Callithrix jacchus: one gene and its partners. Each later gene encodes a partner of the first gene's protein in a complex. Links are inferred from orthologs where the notes say so. Each region holds a gene or a part of one and is shown in the gene's direction. Other genes may lie near its edges.

Region 1 (3,566 bases):
TGCAATGGTGCGATCTCGGCTCACCACAACCTCCGCCTCCTGGGTTCAGGCGATTCTCCTGCCTCAGCCTCTTGAGTAGCTGGGATTACAGGCACGCACCACCATGCCCAGCTAATTCTTTGTATTTTTAGTAGAGATGGGGTTTCACCATGTTGACCAGGATGGTCTCGATCTCTTGACCTCGTGATCCACCCGCCTCGGCCTCCCAAAGTGCTGGGATTAGAGGTGTGAGCCACTGCGCCCTGCCTGAGATTTTTAATCTTAAAAATAAGACCGTTGAAGTTATCTTTAAAATACTTCCAACTCTGATTCTGCAGTTGATAAAATTCTGTAGCTCTTTCAATTGTACCTGGGAGCATTTTGTAAAATTTGAAGTGAGATTATGCATCTTTTTTTCTCGTAACACTTTTTAAGTCCTCTATTTTCAGGTGGAACAATGGGAAAAGTAAAAGCACTCCAAGCGACAAAGCTAAACCCTTCATTTTACAGATAAGGAAGCCAGTGCATATCCTCTGGGGTCCTCGTGCCCTTCCATTCTGCCACTTCTGTTAAAGCCAGTGGCTTTGCATAAGTCACCAGAAGTCTTTCAGTGTCATTTTATTAGACTGATTTCATTCGGATATCTTGGGACCCAGTATTTTCCCATTAGTCTTCATGAGACCTAAATCCTTTTAATCCTGTCCTTCCTGGAGCCCACCCTGAATCATTTGCCTTGTGTATGACTGGGTTTTCCATTCTCTCTTTCTCTCAAATGTTTGTTGCAATTTTAGTGAAACTTTTCATACTGCCCTGATTTTTACATAAAAGCAGCAAAAGGAGGCACATTGTATTATTGCTACAAATGTAATTGCGGTTTTGGACCATGGATTTCAAATCATAACTAGGCTGAAATACATCTTTATAAATCAAAATAGGAACCATTACAAAGAACACATTTTTGCCAATGAGAAATAAGTTTGTTTATTCCTATAGCATAAAAATCCGTGCTTTGGGATGCGACAAACTCTTGGAAAGCATTTTCTGCATCCTGCTGATTATGGAAGCGTTTTCCTTGCAAAAAGTTGTTGAGGTGCTTGAAGAAGGGGTAGTCAGTTGGAGAGGTCGGGTGAATATGGCAGATGAGGCAAAACTTCATAGTCCAATTCATTTGACTTCTGAAGCGCCGGTTGCATGATGTGCGGTCAGGCGTTGTTGTGGAGAAGAACCAGGCCGCTTCTGTTGATCAACGCCGGCTGCAGGCACTGGAGTTTTCGGTGCATCTCATCGATCTGCTGAGCATAGTTCTCAGATGGCATATTTTCGCTGAGATTCAGAGAACTGCAGTGGATCAGACCAGCAGCAGACCACCCAACAGTGACCGTGACCTTTTTTGGTGGAAACTTGGCTTTGGGAGGTGCTTTGGAGCTCCTCAGTCCATCAGCTGAGCTGGTTGTCACTGATTGTCATATAAAATACACTTTTTGTTGCACGTGACAATCTGATGGATAAATGGTTCATTGTTGTTACATAGAACAAGAGAAGACGATGCTTCCCAACAACGATTTTGTTTTATTGTCACTCTGCTCATGAGGCGCCCACTTATTGAGCTTTTTCACCTTTCCAATTTGCTTCAAATGCCGAACCACCGTAGAATAGTCCACGTTGAGTTCTTCAGCAACTTCTCATGTAGTTGTAAGAGAATCAGCTTCAGTGATGGCTCTCCAGTGGCCGTTGTCAACTTCCAGTGGCCAGCCACTATGCTCCACGTCTTCATGGCTCTTGTCTCCTTTGCAAAGCTTCTTGAACCACCACCACACTGCTCGTTCATTAGCAGTTCCTGGGCCACATGCGCTGCTGATGTTGCAAGTCGTCTCCAGTGCTTTACAACCCATTTTGAACTCGAATAAGAGAATCAATCAAATTTGCTTGTGGTCTAACATCATTTCCATAGTCTAAAATAAACATAAACAGCAAGTAATGTCGTTAGCAAAAAAGCATAAAGTGAGAAATGCCCACTAAAATGATATATAACGTAACCACGTTTATTTAAGAATGTATTCCAATAGCAAACAGCTAATTCCAACAATGCAAAAACCGCAATTACTTTTGCACTCACCTATAATAAAAGTTTTCAAAAAGTAGTTGCTTGTTATCTCAAAGCTGGTTTAAGATACTATAAGATATGTAGTCAAATGTTCTATGCTGCACTTTTATACAGTTGATAAGGAGAATATCAACTTTACATGTGAAACTACAGATATAAAATGTTTCTCTGAAAATATTCAATAGTTCTAGCATGAAATGGATTAATTCAAGCAGATTATAAGGGTGTCTTTCAGTTTTGTTAGATTTGGTTACATTGCATTCTTAACATGCTTTACCTTTAAATTTTATTTTCTTTGCCTACTGTTTTAAGCATTCATGATAGTTTTATTTATTTATTTATTTATTTTTACTATGGTTGGTTTTATTTGCTTTCGTTTTATTTTCTTTATAACCTATTTTTCCTCTCCTGTCCTCCTGATGATTTTTGAATTGTTTGTCTGTATATAGCTATAGACATAGATGCTACTGGCTTAGATGCAGAAGAAAATGATATTCCAGCAAACCACCGCTCCCCTAAACCCAGTGCAAACAGTGTAACGTCACCCCACTCCAAAGAGAAAAGAATGCCCTTCTTTAAGAAGGTAACATTAACTTCCGAGCTCCCGTTGTCCACCTGCTGAAGTGCACTGTGTCACATTGCTAGTCCTGTTGACTGTCTGCGTCCTTTGACAAGCCAATAACGTGCATGCTCTGTTATTTGTTTCCTTTCCATGCTGCTGTAGCTAAGCAGAAGCAGAAATCGGTAAGTTTACATTGACATAAGCTGCGTTTATCCTGCCACTGGCATCATTAGCATTAATTCCCACAGTTGTATGAAATACAATCATTTCTGTCCCAAGCAAAGAACCTATCAACAGCTAATTGAGCTTATGCATTTCAAAGCAACTAAATTCAGGGAGTGACCTGTTAAAACACCATTACAGTACTTATCCTTTTTGATGGAATAATATCTACCACCAAGGGAATTTGTTTCAACATTCAAGGATGTCAAACACCGACAGCTCCATATAATGCACCTTAACTGTGCATGCTTATTCTGTCTGTCTGTCTGTCTTCCAGAAATTTAACTTATGATCAAGCATATTAAAGCAGTTATTAGATTCTGATTAATGATATCCAGATACATAGCTTGTACTAAAAAGAAATTCAAGTTTTAATTTAGTCAGTATTTAAACTTCTAATCCACTAGGTGCAAAATCTGCAGATGAACAAGACCAGTGGAAAACTGCAGGCTTGTTTTGGCGGTTTACTGTGAGTTTTTCCTATTGTCATATATAAATATTCTCCCAATGTTCTTGCCTTCTCCATCAGTCAGACTTTAGCATCTCACCCATTGGACACTGCAGCCAGTGGTCATGTGTAGAGCCTTTGCCATTGGCCACCCAAAATGCTACACGGTGAGGCTCCTTGTCCCCTAAATGGAAACTGTAGGGTATTCTCAAGCTCTCGTTACTTCAGACAAAGCCTGTTTTCTCTTACCC
Region 2 (3,566 bases), on another chromosome or scaffold:
GCCGCACCAGAGGACAGGGCCACTTCCAGGCTCTTCCTGATCAGCTGTGTCCTCACCCCTTTGCCTTTTCCAAGCCTGACTCCGTCCCAAGGCAGGGCTCCCTGGAAACGGCATTTCACAGTGTCTCCCCAAGGGAAATGTTTCCTAGGAGAAGAGAAACTTCTATATCAGAAGTTATAAAGTGGTCACCCTGGGCATATCTAATCTGCAGGCTTGTTTGGTTTGCTACTATTTGAAAATCTGGCACATTCAGGTCAAAATCAAGACTCCTGGCATTCCTTGGAAAAGTCAGGAGACCTGCAATTTTGAGCTTGCATTCCGGCAGGGCAGCAGAGGGCTGGAGCCTAGTGGCAGCTGCCCCTTGAGATGGAGCATAGCATGTGTTCTGCAGATCTCCAAGCCCCTCCAGTCCTCCCCCTTCCCTCTCCCTTCCTGGAGACTGAAGCTGCCCAGCAGTTGCAATAGTGAAAATTAAACACAGCTGTACCGGAATAAGGGGCATTTATACCTCACATGTGTTACCTGCCTCACCCCGCTGGTATTTGGTTAAAACTCCTCCTATAGCAAGGGAGAAGTTGCCAGTCATAATCGTGCAGGGCCCTGTTCACACCTGCTCCCAGCCCAGGGCCCAGTTCCCAGGCTGTGGAACACACAGGAGGCAAGCCGAGCCCATCCTGCCCCTGCTCCTTCTCTTCCTTATCCTTATCCTCATCACCTGAGACATTCGTCACTAAGTAGCCTCAGGGACATGGCATGATTGTGACTCCACCTGACATGATCCCAGAAATCAAAGGCTCAGTCACCAAGGCCCAGGGATGTTCTGGTGTCAAAGTTTGCAACCTTGCAAATAGCTCCTTGCCCACTTCCCCAGGACAAGGAGAAGATACTCAGGGAAAACACTGGCTCTTGGCTTGAACTATCTGTGAATCCCTGAGGGGAAAAAGAGCATCATGCAGGAAATTCCTCATTTTCAAAACCGTTTGGCCGACACAGCTTTTAGCTCCGTGAGCACATCAGATTTATTGATTTTTAATCTGGTTAGAATCTTCTGGTCGTTTTCCCAGCCCCCACCCTCACGGTGTGCTGGCTGCTCTCAGGGACCGCTGTCCTAGATGTGCCCTGGAAACTCGCTCCCAGCCTTCAGGGACTTCACTGGAAACCTCCAGGGCAGCTTATACCAGCGGGAGCCTCTTGCACAGTCCCATCCCTACCAGTGTGTGGGTTCTCCCAGCTACCGCAGAGGGGAGCCCGGAGCCTTGAGACTGTGGGTCCCTCCCACTCTGGAGCAGCCAGGTATGAAGAAGGACCTCAGGTGCTCCTGGCTCCCAGCAGGGCTGTGCCTCCCCAAAGGAAGGCAGCCCGCCTTCCCGGGCCCTGCATTCCACTGGCCAGACTGTGGAAGCTGCTCTCTGGGAGGGGTGGACACTGAGGGGCTTCTCCTCCACCCACCTGTCCTTCTTGCCTACAGAGGGCCGGTGGCCTCTTCGGCAACCACGTCAGCTACTACCAAAGTGACGGCCGGAGCGCCTTCCCCCAGACCTTCACCACTCAGCGCCCGCTGCACATCAACAAGGCAGGCAGCAGCCAGGGTGACACAGAGTCGCCTTCCCACGAGAAGCTGGTGGATTCCACCTTCACTCCCAGCAGCTACTCGTCCACCGGCTCCAATGCCAACATCAACAATGCCAACAACACCGCCCTGGGCCGCCTCCCCCGCCCCACTGGCCACCCCAGCACGGTCAGCACTGTGGAGGGCCATGGGCCCCCCTTGTCCCCTGCCATCCGGGTGCAGGAGGTGGCCTGGAAGCTCAGCTCCCAGAGGTAAGCGGGAGGCTGGCCACCCTGCTGTATTTTCTCCTTGTCCTCTGATCCCCTGTGCTCTAGGATGCACTGCTCTGACATGCTGGGATGGTGGGACTTCCCTCCCACCCTGGGCCCCTGCAGAGCTCCTCCCTGTCAGCATCAGCAGCTCCAGCGTTCCCTGGTGGGGCTGAGAGAGGTGCCTAGTCCCGCTTAACTGTGCTGCTTTTCCAGAGTAGGACAGTGGCTCCCAGCCGGCGGCACAGCGCCCCAGCATGTCAGCCTCCTGACATGCCTGCCCTCCAGCTCAGAAAATAGTAAGAGAAGTGGAAGCTTCTCACCAAACCCCTGGAAAAGTGTCCATCCAAGAAGCAGGTACCTGCCGTGGGCCTGCCCATCCCCCCAGAGGGCCCATTTTCAAGTGGCTGCATGCAAGCCCCTAGGGCCAGGCATTTAATTGTGTCAGATGACAGGCAAGTTAGAAAGACCATCCCCCTGTCTGCTTTCCTTTCTGCAAGGTGGCTGGTTTAGCCACCCAGAGGCAGCACTGGGGCATCCCTCAGCTCACGAGGCCTGCACTGCTGCCTTCTGTGCTCAGGGCAGCTTGCTCAGCCCTGGATTTGATGTGCTGGCCTCAAGGGCTGGCTTTACATAGGAGAGGATCTAATCTAGGCATCTAGTCTTGGGGGCCTGCATTTGTTGTGGGGGCCTCACCCTTCTCTGCAACCTCACTCCCCTTCCCCCCACAGCCTTTGAGGACTCAGGTACTGGATCCCCACACCCCTTCTCCCCTGCTGGCCTCACCAAAGCCTCTGCTGAAGGAGGGCTCCATGTCCATCTTCAGCATCTCAGGGTGAATTCAATCCCTACCCTCTAAGGGCATTTTCCTGTGAGGCTTTGTTCTCTGTGACAAAAGGGGGAAGAGATGTTTAGAGGAGCTGGGGAGGAGACCCTGGGGAATTTCCTTGTCCCCACAGATACATCTCTCCATGAAGCAAAACACGCAAAGCACCCAGCACACAGTCAGTGCTCATGAAATGTTGGTTCCCTCTGCCCACTGCAGACAGTACAAACAACAGGGCACCAAGCTTCAGCTTGGTGAAGAAGAGGAGCATAACCCACATCCCAGCTCCCTTGTCCTCTCTGTCACAGCTCAAAGCTAAGGGCAGCTCAGGCCCTGGCGTTGCCTGTGCTAAGAATGGGCCAGCACGTCCTGTGCCCGGTGGCTCCCAGAAGTGCTGTTTCCTGCCTGCTCCGCTCTGCACCTCCAACTCCTCCCCCCACACCCTCGCCAAAGCTCGCTCCACTTCCCTCCCCTCCCAATCCTCCTGGAGCTCCCACCTGTAACCTTTCTTTCCCACTGCAGTGGGAGTGGCAATCTGCAGGCCTCCTTAAGAGAGAGAACTGCTCCTACCCTGCCAGTGATGCTCAGAGCCAGGGCACTGATCTAGCCCTCAGCTCTGAGAGGATGGACCAGGATCTTTCCCTGATGCTCTCGGGGATCCGAGGATAAAGTGGGCCCAGCATGCAAGGTCTACAGAAAGCAAGACAGAGGGAGGCACTGAGCTGAGCTAGACAGGAAAAGGAAGAGGCCTTGGTCCAGAGCTAAAGAAGGCATGGCCTGTGAGCATAAGACCCTGTCCCAGGAGGGAAAGGCACGTCCTAGTGTGTGAGGATCTGGAGCTCAGGAGGGATTCTGGCTCAGGAGGGACTCAGGCTCACTGCCTTCTGTTCAGGAGAGCAAACCCCTCCAGGTGAGGCTTCCA
Region 3 (4,115 bases), on another chromosome or scaffold:
AAATAGGGACACTTTCACACTGTTGGTGGGAGTGTAAATTAGTTCTACCATTTTGGAAGACAGTGTAGTGATTCCTCAAGGACCTGGAAATAGAAATTCCATTTGACCCAGCAATCCCATTACTGGGTATATATCCAAAGGATTATAAATCATTCTACTATAAGGACACATGCACACGAATGTTCATGGCAGCACTGTTTACAATAGCAAAGACTTGGAACCAACCCAAATGCCCATCGATGGTAGACTGGACAGGGAAAATGTGGCACATATACACCATGGAATACTATGCAGCCATAAACGATGAGTTTGTGTCCTTTGTAGGGACATGGGTGAACCTGGAAACCATCTTTCTCAGCAAACTGACACAAGAACAGAAAATCAAACACTGCACGTTCTCACTCATAGGTGGGTGTTGAACAATGAGAACACATGGACACAGGGAGGGGAGCATCAGACACTGGGGTCTGTCGGGGGGAACTAGGGGAGGGACAGTGGAGAGTTGGGAAGGGATAACATGGGGAGAAACATCAGATATATGTGTTGGGGAGGAAGGCAGCAAAGCATATTGCCATGTATGTACCTATGCAACAATCTTGCATGTTTTTCACATGTACCCCAAAACCTGAAATGCAATAAAATATATTTTTTTTAGAAAAAAGCAATCTAGCTGGGCTTGGTGGCTCACACCTGTAATCCCAGCACTTTGGGATGCTGAGGCGGGTGGATCACCTGAGGTCAGGGGTTCAAGACCAGCCTGGCCAACATGGTAAAACCCTGTCTCTACTAAAAATACAAGAATTAGCCAGGCATGGTGGTGGGCACCTGTAATCTCAGGTACTTGGAAGGCTGAGGCAGGAGAATCACTTGAACCCAGGAGGTGAAGTTTGTAGTGAACCTGCCAGATCACTTCACTGCACTCCCCTGGGCGACAAGAGTGAGACTCCATCTTTAAAAAAAAAAAAAAAAGCAATCTAGTGTGGCTGATAGGAGAGCTCTGAGAGTTCACATTAGTCTTTTTTTTTTTTTAACCCTGTCTCAAAAAATAAATGAAATATAAAAATAAACTCCCCTTAAGTGAGCATGAACAGAAACTGTCCCTTCTTGATTTCAGCTGTTATTAACCTGTTGGCCAAAGATAAAGAATCAAGGAACAGCAGCTCTGGGGGATGGGAGGAGTTAGGGTCCAACCCTGCCCCAGACCTCTCAGTGTCCAATTTCTCTGTGTCAGCTGTGTTGCTCAGCTGTCTACTTTCCTCCAGCCCTGTCATTTCAGCCCTGACACCAACGCAAGAGGCTAGGAGGTCTACAAATAGCGTCTGGGTAGCTGGTGTGAACACAGAGGGTACTGGGGGGGCTTAGCCCCCAAGGAAGAGGACTGGTTTTTCCCCAGCACCACCATCAAGGCCTCGGGGTTCCCAACTTCCTCTACATTCTGTGGACTGACTGATTTAGGGAATCCCAAACGTAAGTTACCTCTTCATCCTCTTTCCATTTCCACAGCTGCTCACCCCAGCTGCCCTGGCCAGTAATCTATTTAACTTCTTCATTTCTCTCCTTGTTGTGAATCATCTGGGTTTTAGGAGTCAAATTATTATTCTACTCTAGGATGAGTTAGGATTGGAGGGTGGGGTAAGGGTGGGGGTGGGGTGAAGGGAATGGAGTAGTAAGGGAAGGAAAGGCTCATATTACCCTGAAAACTTAAAATAGCTGAGCCCTGAAGCAGGCTGGGACAGCACTAGGCACAGTGCCCCCAGGGCTCAAGAAAGAAGTAGGGGAGGACAAATCTCCAGTCCATCCTTCCTTGTGCACACACAAGGACACCCATTAAACCTCTTGAAGAGAGGAGATCTGGGAAGGTATGCATCACATACCTGTTGCCCACAGGTTCCCAGGAGAAACAAAGTACCTATAAGAAAATAACGTAAATCATTCAGCAGTGAACACTGTGTAAGGGCTGTAAACTCTGGGGTCACCCCTCAGGATGGAAGGATAAGTATCAGTTTGAGGAACTAACTGGGGACTTCCGTTTGTTGGGCTTTTTTGTTTTTCTTTTTTTTTTTTTTTTTTTTTGAGACAGAGTCTTGCTCTAGAACCACGCTGGAGTGCAGTGGCGCAATCCTGGCTCACTGCAACCTTCGCCTCCCAGGTTCAAGCAATTCTCCTTCCTCAACCTCTCAAGTAGCTGGGATTACAGGTGTCTGCCACCATACTCGGCTCATTTTTTAATATTTAGTAGAGATGGGGTTTCACCATGTTGGCCAGGCTGGTCTCAAACTCCTGACCCCTAGTGATCCACCCATCTCAGCCTCCCAAAGTGCTGGGATTACAGGTGTGAGCCACCACGCCCAGCCATGTTGGGCTTTTTTCTAGACCTCCATGAAATCTATCTGTTAATAAACACTGCCAAAGGATTTGTATTTGGCCTGGAGCAGTGCCTCATGCCTGGAATCTCAACCCTTTGGGAGGCTGAAATGGAAGAACTGCTTGAGCTAGTTCAGGACCAGCCTAGGCAACAAAGCAAGGCCCTGCTTCTACAAAAAATAAAAAAGTAGCCAGGTAGTATACACTTTGTAGTCCCAGCTACTCAGGAAGCTGAGGTAGGGGGATCGCTTCAGCCTGGGAGATCAAGACTGCAGTGAGCCGTGATCACACCACTGCACTCCAACCTGGGTGACAGAGTGAGACCTCATTGCAAAAAAAAAAAAAAAAAAAATATATATATATATATATATATGAAACCACATTTCTCCAAAAGCCTCCCCTTTGAGGACCACCCTACTGCAAGGGACAGAAATAAGAGAGAGAAGAATGAAAGGGATTAGATTTCATAGTGGGGTCCAACCTCTTGCAGGATGACAGAAAAGGAGGTGCTGGAGTCCCCTAAACCCTCCTTCCCCGCAGAGACTCGGCAAAGTGGGGTGAGTCTGGGCCTCTGACCACTGGGTGTGGGGAGCGGGAAGCCATTATAGCTGAAGAGTGCTTAAATTGATCACATTTGTGTATGACTCATTTTTTGCTGGCCACCTGCAGCCCCCCTAATCCTAGGGTACATTCCTTACCCCTAACTAGAAAACTGTCTAGTTTGCTCTAGTGCCCCTGTACTCTAGAGAGGGTGACAAGTCCTTTTAACACTGGGTTTCCTTCACTCCCTCCCTCAGCTACAGCGGCTGAAGCAATTACTCAGGAAGGGGTCTACAGGGACAAAAGACATGGAACTTCCCCCAGAGCCCCAGGCCAATGGGGAGGCAGTGGGAGCTGGGGGTGGGCCCATCTACTACATCTATGAGGAAGAGGAGGAGGAAGAAGAGGAGGAGGAGGAGCCACCCCCAGAACCTCCTAAGCTTGTCAACGATAAGCCCCACAAATTCAAAGATCACTTCTTCAAGAAGCCAAAGTTCTGTGATGTCTGTGCCCGGATGATTGTTCGTGAGTCATGAAGGGAAGTGAAGAGAGTATGATGTTGAAGGCAGGGGTTGGGGGAGAGGGTATAGGAGAGGAGTATTTGTAGCAGACGGGCTGCGGCTAGAGTTGCTGTAAGGCAGTGCTATTAGAGATTGTGAGAGTAGGGTCCTAGACAGAAAAGGGAACCTAAGTGTAGCAGCAGTGGTACAAAGGGAAAGGGCAACCTGGAACCTTATCTGAATTTTCTCCCCCTCTCCCAAGTCAATAACAAGTTTGGGCTTCGCTGTAAGAACTGCAAAACCAACATCCATGAACACTGTCAGTCCTATGTGGAAATGCAGAGATGCTTTGGCAAGATCGTGAGTAGGCTCCGGGGAACAAGGTGTAGAAAGGTGGGGCCGTATCACCAGCTACCCCTTGCTGGTCCCTCCTCCATCCCATTCATTTCTCTTTTTCTTTCTTAGCCCATCTCTTTTTCTGAGAAAGGATGACCACTTATGAGAGAGATGGGCTTCTAGCCTACCTTGCTACCTCTAATGATTCCTCCTATTCCACCCTACAGCCACCTGGTTTCCGTCGGGCCTATAGTTCCCCACTCTACAGCAATCAGCAGTATGCTTGTGTCAAAGATCTCTGTAAGTGCCCTTTATGGAACATGAGGGAATGGGCAAGCCTACAGATGGTTTCATGCCATCTCTTTTTTTTTTTTT
Region 4 (3,435 bases), on another chromosome or scaffold:
AAATCAACAGAGCTCAGGCGCACACCCACTGTCGGGAGTACAGACCAGAGCCTGCCCGCACCCAGATAGCTGCACACAGTGTGCGTGGGCAGACACACATTCACACACACTGATACACACACACACAGATACACACATACAATGACATACACACTGACACACATGTACACACACAATGACACACAAGCATTGAGTGACACACAGAAACACAATGACATACACACAAGACAGAATGACACACATACAAGACACACACAGACACACAGTGACACACAATGATACACACATAAGACACACACATACAATGATACACACATAAGACACAGACACACTGACACACACGATTACACACACAAGACACAGATACAGAGACACATATAATGACACACAATTACATATGACATGCAGTGATACACAGGCAATAACACACACAAAATGACACACACAATGACACAAGACACAATGACACACAGGTAATGACACACGGACACACTACCATGCACAGAAACATGTAACACGAGCACATGCAGACACACATGACACACCGGGTGACACACACCATCGTACTGACACAGACCCAGATACTAGCATACACAGAGACATATAACACACACATACACCAACACAGGCACACACTAACATACACAGATACACATTCTGACAGATCTCACACATGTGGCACATACACTAATATACAGACACACTAACCACACACAGACACACACACTGCCACACAGACACATGCACACATTCACACACTGCCACGCACACTGGCAGAGCCTCACGTGCACCAGGCTGGATGACAAGCCACTCTGTCATCCTTTGCTCCTTAACCCCAAGACAGACCCCCCACTGTCCCATTGCCTCCTCCCTGTTGATCGGAGGACAATTTCTGCTCTAGAAAGGTCTCCGGCCACCTGCCTCTCGCCCCTGCCCCGTTGCGGACCTTGCAGCCTGGTGCTCTGGAAAGACAGGGGTGAAAGAAGCCCTGGGGCAGCCTGGCTCTGCGTGGGCCTTAGGGCAGGACTCGGTCCCCCGGGCTGTCAGCTTTCCCACGTGTGAAATGGGAACTGTGGTGCAGGCGTTGTCCCTAACCAGCCACGACGAGAGCTCCCAGGCTGAGGCCGCATGCTGCATGTCCCTTGTGTTCGCAGAGTACAGCATCTCGGCGGCCGCCATCGCCATCTTCAGCCTTGGCTTCATCATCCTAGGCAGCCTCTGTGTCCTCCTGTCCCTCCAGAATAAGAGGGACTACCTGCTGCGGCCTGCGTCCATGTTCTACGCCTTTGCAGGTAGACTGGGGACCCTGCCCAAACGCAGGGCTGGAGGACCATGTCATGGGGGACTCTCTGCTCCACTCTCATGCCTACCGCGGGATTTGGGTAGGGGGCATTCCGCAGGCTCCATCCCCAACCAGGGGCAAACCTGCCAGGCCCTCAGTGACTCCAGGTGGGTTAGAGGGAGAGAGAGCTGGGCGGTTTGTCCATTCCTCCCCACAGCCCTCAAGGCCCCAAAGAAACCCCCCAGAGAATGATGGACAAAAGAAGGAAAGAAATGTGGTTGCCTTTCTTACTTTTTCTTGAGGGATGAGGAAGAAAGTCTCACTCTGTTCTCCAGGCTGGAGTGCAGTGGCGCAATCACAGCTCACTGCAGCCTCAAACTCCTGGGTTCAAGGGTTCCTCCCACCCCAGCCTCCCAAGTAGCTGGGACTACAGATGTGCAGCACCACTCTTGGCTAATTTTTTATTTTAATTTTTTATAGAGACAGAGGTCTCATCACTATGTTGCCCAGGCTGGTCTCAAGCTCCTGGCCTCAAGCGATCCTCCCGTCTCAGCCTCCCAAAGTGCTGGGATTACAGGCATGAGCCGCCACACCTGGCCATGTGGTCACCCTTCTGAGGGATGCAGGATTGGGTGGTGGGTGGACAAATGGATCCTTCTGCAGGTTCCCAGCTAGAAACTGCCTTGAGGTGGCTTTTCCCCTGAGGCAAGATCACTGCCTCCTCCAAGTACACAGGCTAGGGTGGGGCTGGGGGCAAGGCAGGGGCCCTTTGGTCCCTGAGCGTCTCTGGTTCTGCCCCCAGGTCTCTGCATCCTCGTCTCAGTGGAGGTCATGAGGCAGTCAGTGAAGCGCATGATTGACAGTGAGGACACCGTCTGGATTGAGTACTATTACTCCTGGTCCTTCGCCTGCTCCTGTGCCGCCTTTGTCCTCCTCTTCCTTGGCGGTGTCGCCCTCCTGCTATTCTCCCTGCCTCGAATGCCCCGGAACCCCTGGGAGTCCTGCATGGATGCTGAGCCTGAGCACTAGACTTCCTGCAGCCCCGGTGACCCTCAGGCTTCTTCCCCAGGAAGCTGGGTCTCAGCCTGGAACCTTCCAGAGAGGAGGCCGGAATAATTTTAGCTCCACCCTGCTCCCATTTGCACCCCCACCCCCAACCCGTGACAGTCACGGGCTGCTTCCTCTCTCTGAGCTCCCCTGGGCTGCCGCAGGCGCCCCTGGGAATAGAGCAAAAGGACCTGAGTCCCAACCTGACCACAGTCGGGGAAGGCAGGACCAGCAGGTGGACAGGTGTTTGCAGGGACCCAGTGTCCCCTGGAGCTTAGAGGTGTCCCCACTGTACCAGCCTCTGATTATTTGCCTCCAGTTGTCCTTTATGAACGTCGCAGGGACAACCTGTGTTTGCCAGTTCTGGGTGCTCCATGTAAATAGCCAGCCTTTCTACTCACGATAAAATGAGGACCAGCCTCTCCTACTCAGTGATAAAACACATCCTCTCTGATGAGCCGAACGTCCCCTCCTTGGCTTCCAGGAGCCCTGGGAAGCATTTTTAACTGGGTAGAATCTGACTGTGGCTAGAAATAAAAAGCTCTCAGAAAACTCATGTTTTCCTTGCGCCTCGCATTGAAATCACTTGGATTCTCAGCCACATCCCAGGGGCCCCCTGACCCCAAATGAGAAGGGAAAGCAGGTCACCTGGGTATGCTGAGGACTTTTGTGGGGACAAGAGGGCCACACACGTGGCTTAGAGGCTCTGAATTCCAACTCATATCTCCAGGCCCTGGGGTTGTTTTCGGGAGAAACTAGAAACCCTCTGATGAAGCAAGGGTGTTAAAAATAGGAGGGGTTATTTCTAGAGCCTGCCATGGACGCACCTGGTGCCGACGCAGCGCTGAAGCAGCCAGCCCGTGTCTGATTTCTGATGCCAGGTTTTTGTTGTGAAGAACATCAGGAATCAGGGCTTAGCAGTTAGACACTAAGGGCCACATGGAGAGCCATGATTTGCACTCTTCTGCCTTCCAAAACCCCACAATACTTGTCCAGCTTTCCAAAGTGGAGTTCAGATGTGAGCGGCAGCTGGGATCCTTGCCTTGAACACTGGAGATCTTGCTGGAGTTCATACTTCTAGGGCAGGGTTTGGCAAACTATGGCCC

The links.
Region 2: CACNB2 (region 1) and CACNA1C share a complex: the UniProt entries of both Homo sapiens proteins name them as parts of the calcium channel complex. The link is inferred for Callithrix jacchus from reciprocal best matches to the Homo sapiens genes CACNB2 and CACNA1C.
Region 3: CACNB2 (region 1) and STAC3 share a complex: the UniProt entries of both Homo sapiens proteins name them as parts of the calcium channel complex. The link is inferred for Callithrix jacchus from reciprocal best matches to the Homo sapiens genes CACNB2 and STAC3.
Region 4: CACNB2 (region 1) and CACNG1 share a complex: the UniProt entries of both Homo sapiens proteins name them as parts of the calcium channel complex. The link is inferred for Callithrix jacchus from reciprocal best matches to the Homo sapiens genes CACNB2 and CACNG1.

Annotation. Positions count from the first base shown.
Region 1 is NC_133508.1:19,337,653-19,341,218, forward strand, and holds part of CACNB2 (voltage-dependent L-type calcium channel subunit beta-2), read left to right. Parts: intron 1-2,532; coding exon 2,533-2,666; intron 2,667-2,807; coding exon of another isoform or gene 2,808-2,827; intron 2,828-3,274; coding exon of another isoform or gene 3,275-3,336; intron 3,337-3,566. UniProt on the Homo sapiens protein: Beta subunit of voltage-dependent calcium channels which contributes to the function of the calcium channel by increasing peak calcium current. Plays a role in shifting voltage dependencies of activation and inactivation of the channel.
Region 2 is NC_133510.1:15,911,581-15,915,146, forward strand, and holds part of CACNA1C (voltage-dependent L-type calcium channel subunit alpha-1C), read left to right. Parts: intron 1-1,468; coding exon 1,469-1,821; intron 1,822-3,566. UniProt on the Homo sapiens protein: Pore-forming, alpha-1C subunit of the voltage-gated calcium channel that gives rise to L-type calcium currents. Mediates influx of calcium ions into the cytoplasm, and thereby triggers calcium release from the sarcoplasm.
Region 3 is NC_133510.1:62,453,328-62,457,442, forward strand, and holds the start of STAC3 (SH3 and cysteine-rich domain-containing protein 3), read left to right. Parts: upstream 1-1,274; 5' UTR 1,275-1,467; intron 1,468-2,854; 5' UTR 2,855-2,855; coding exon 2,856-2,921; intron 2,922-3,161; coding exon 3,162-3,429; intron 3,430-3,666; coding exon 3,667-3,764; intron 3,765-3,967; coding exon 3,968-4,040; intron 4,041-4,115. UniProt on the Homo sapiens protein: Required for normal excitation-contraction coupling in skeletal muscle and for normal muscle contraction in response to membrane depolarization. Required for normal Ca(2+) release from the sarcplasmic reticulum, which ultimately leads to muscle contraction.
Region 4 is NC_133506.1:122,252,498-122,255,932, reverse strand, and holds the end of CACNG1 (voltage-dependent calcium channel gamma-1 subunit), read left to right. Parts: intron 1-1,154; coding exon 1,155-1,292; intron 1,293-2,084; coding exon 2,085-2,311; 3' UTR 2,312-2,881; downstream 2,882-3,435. UniProt on the Homo sapiens protein: Regulatory subunit of the voltage-gated calcium channel that gives rise to L-type calcium currents in skeletal muscle. Regulates channel inactivation kinetics.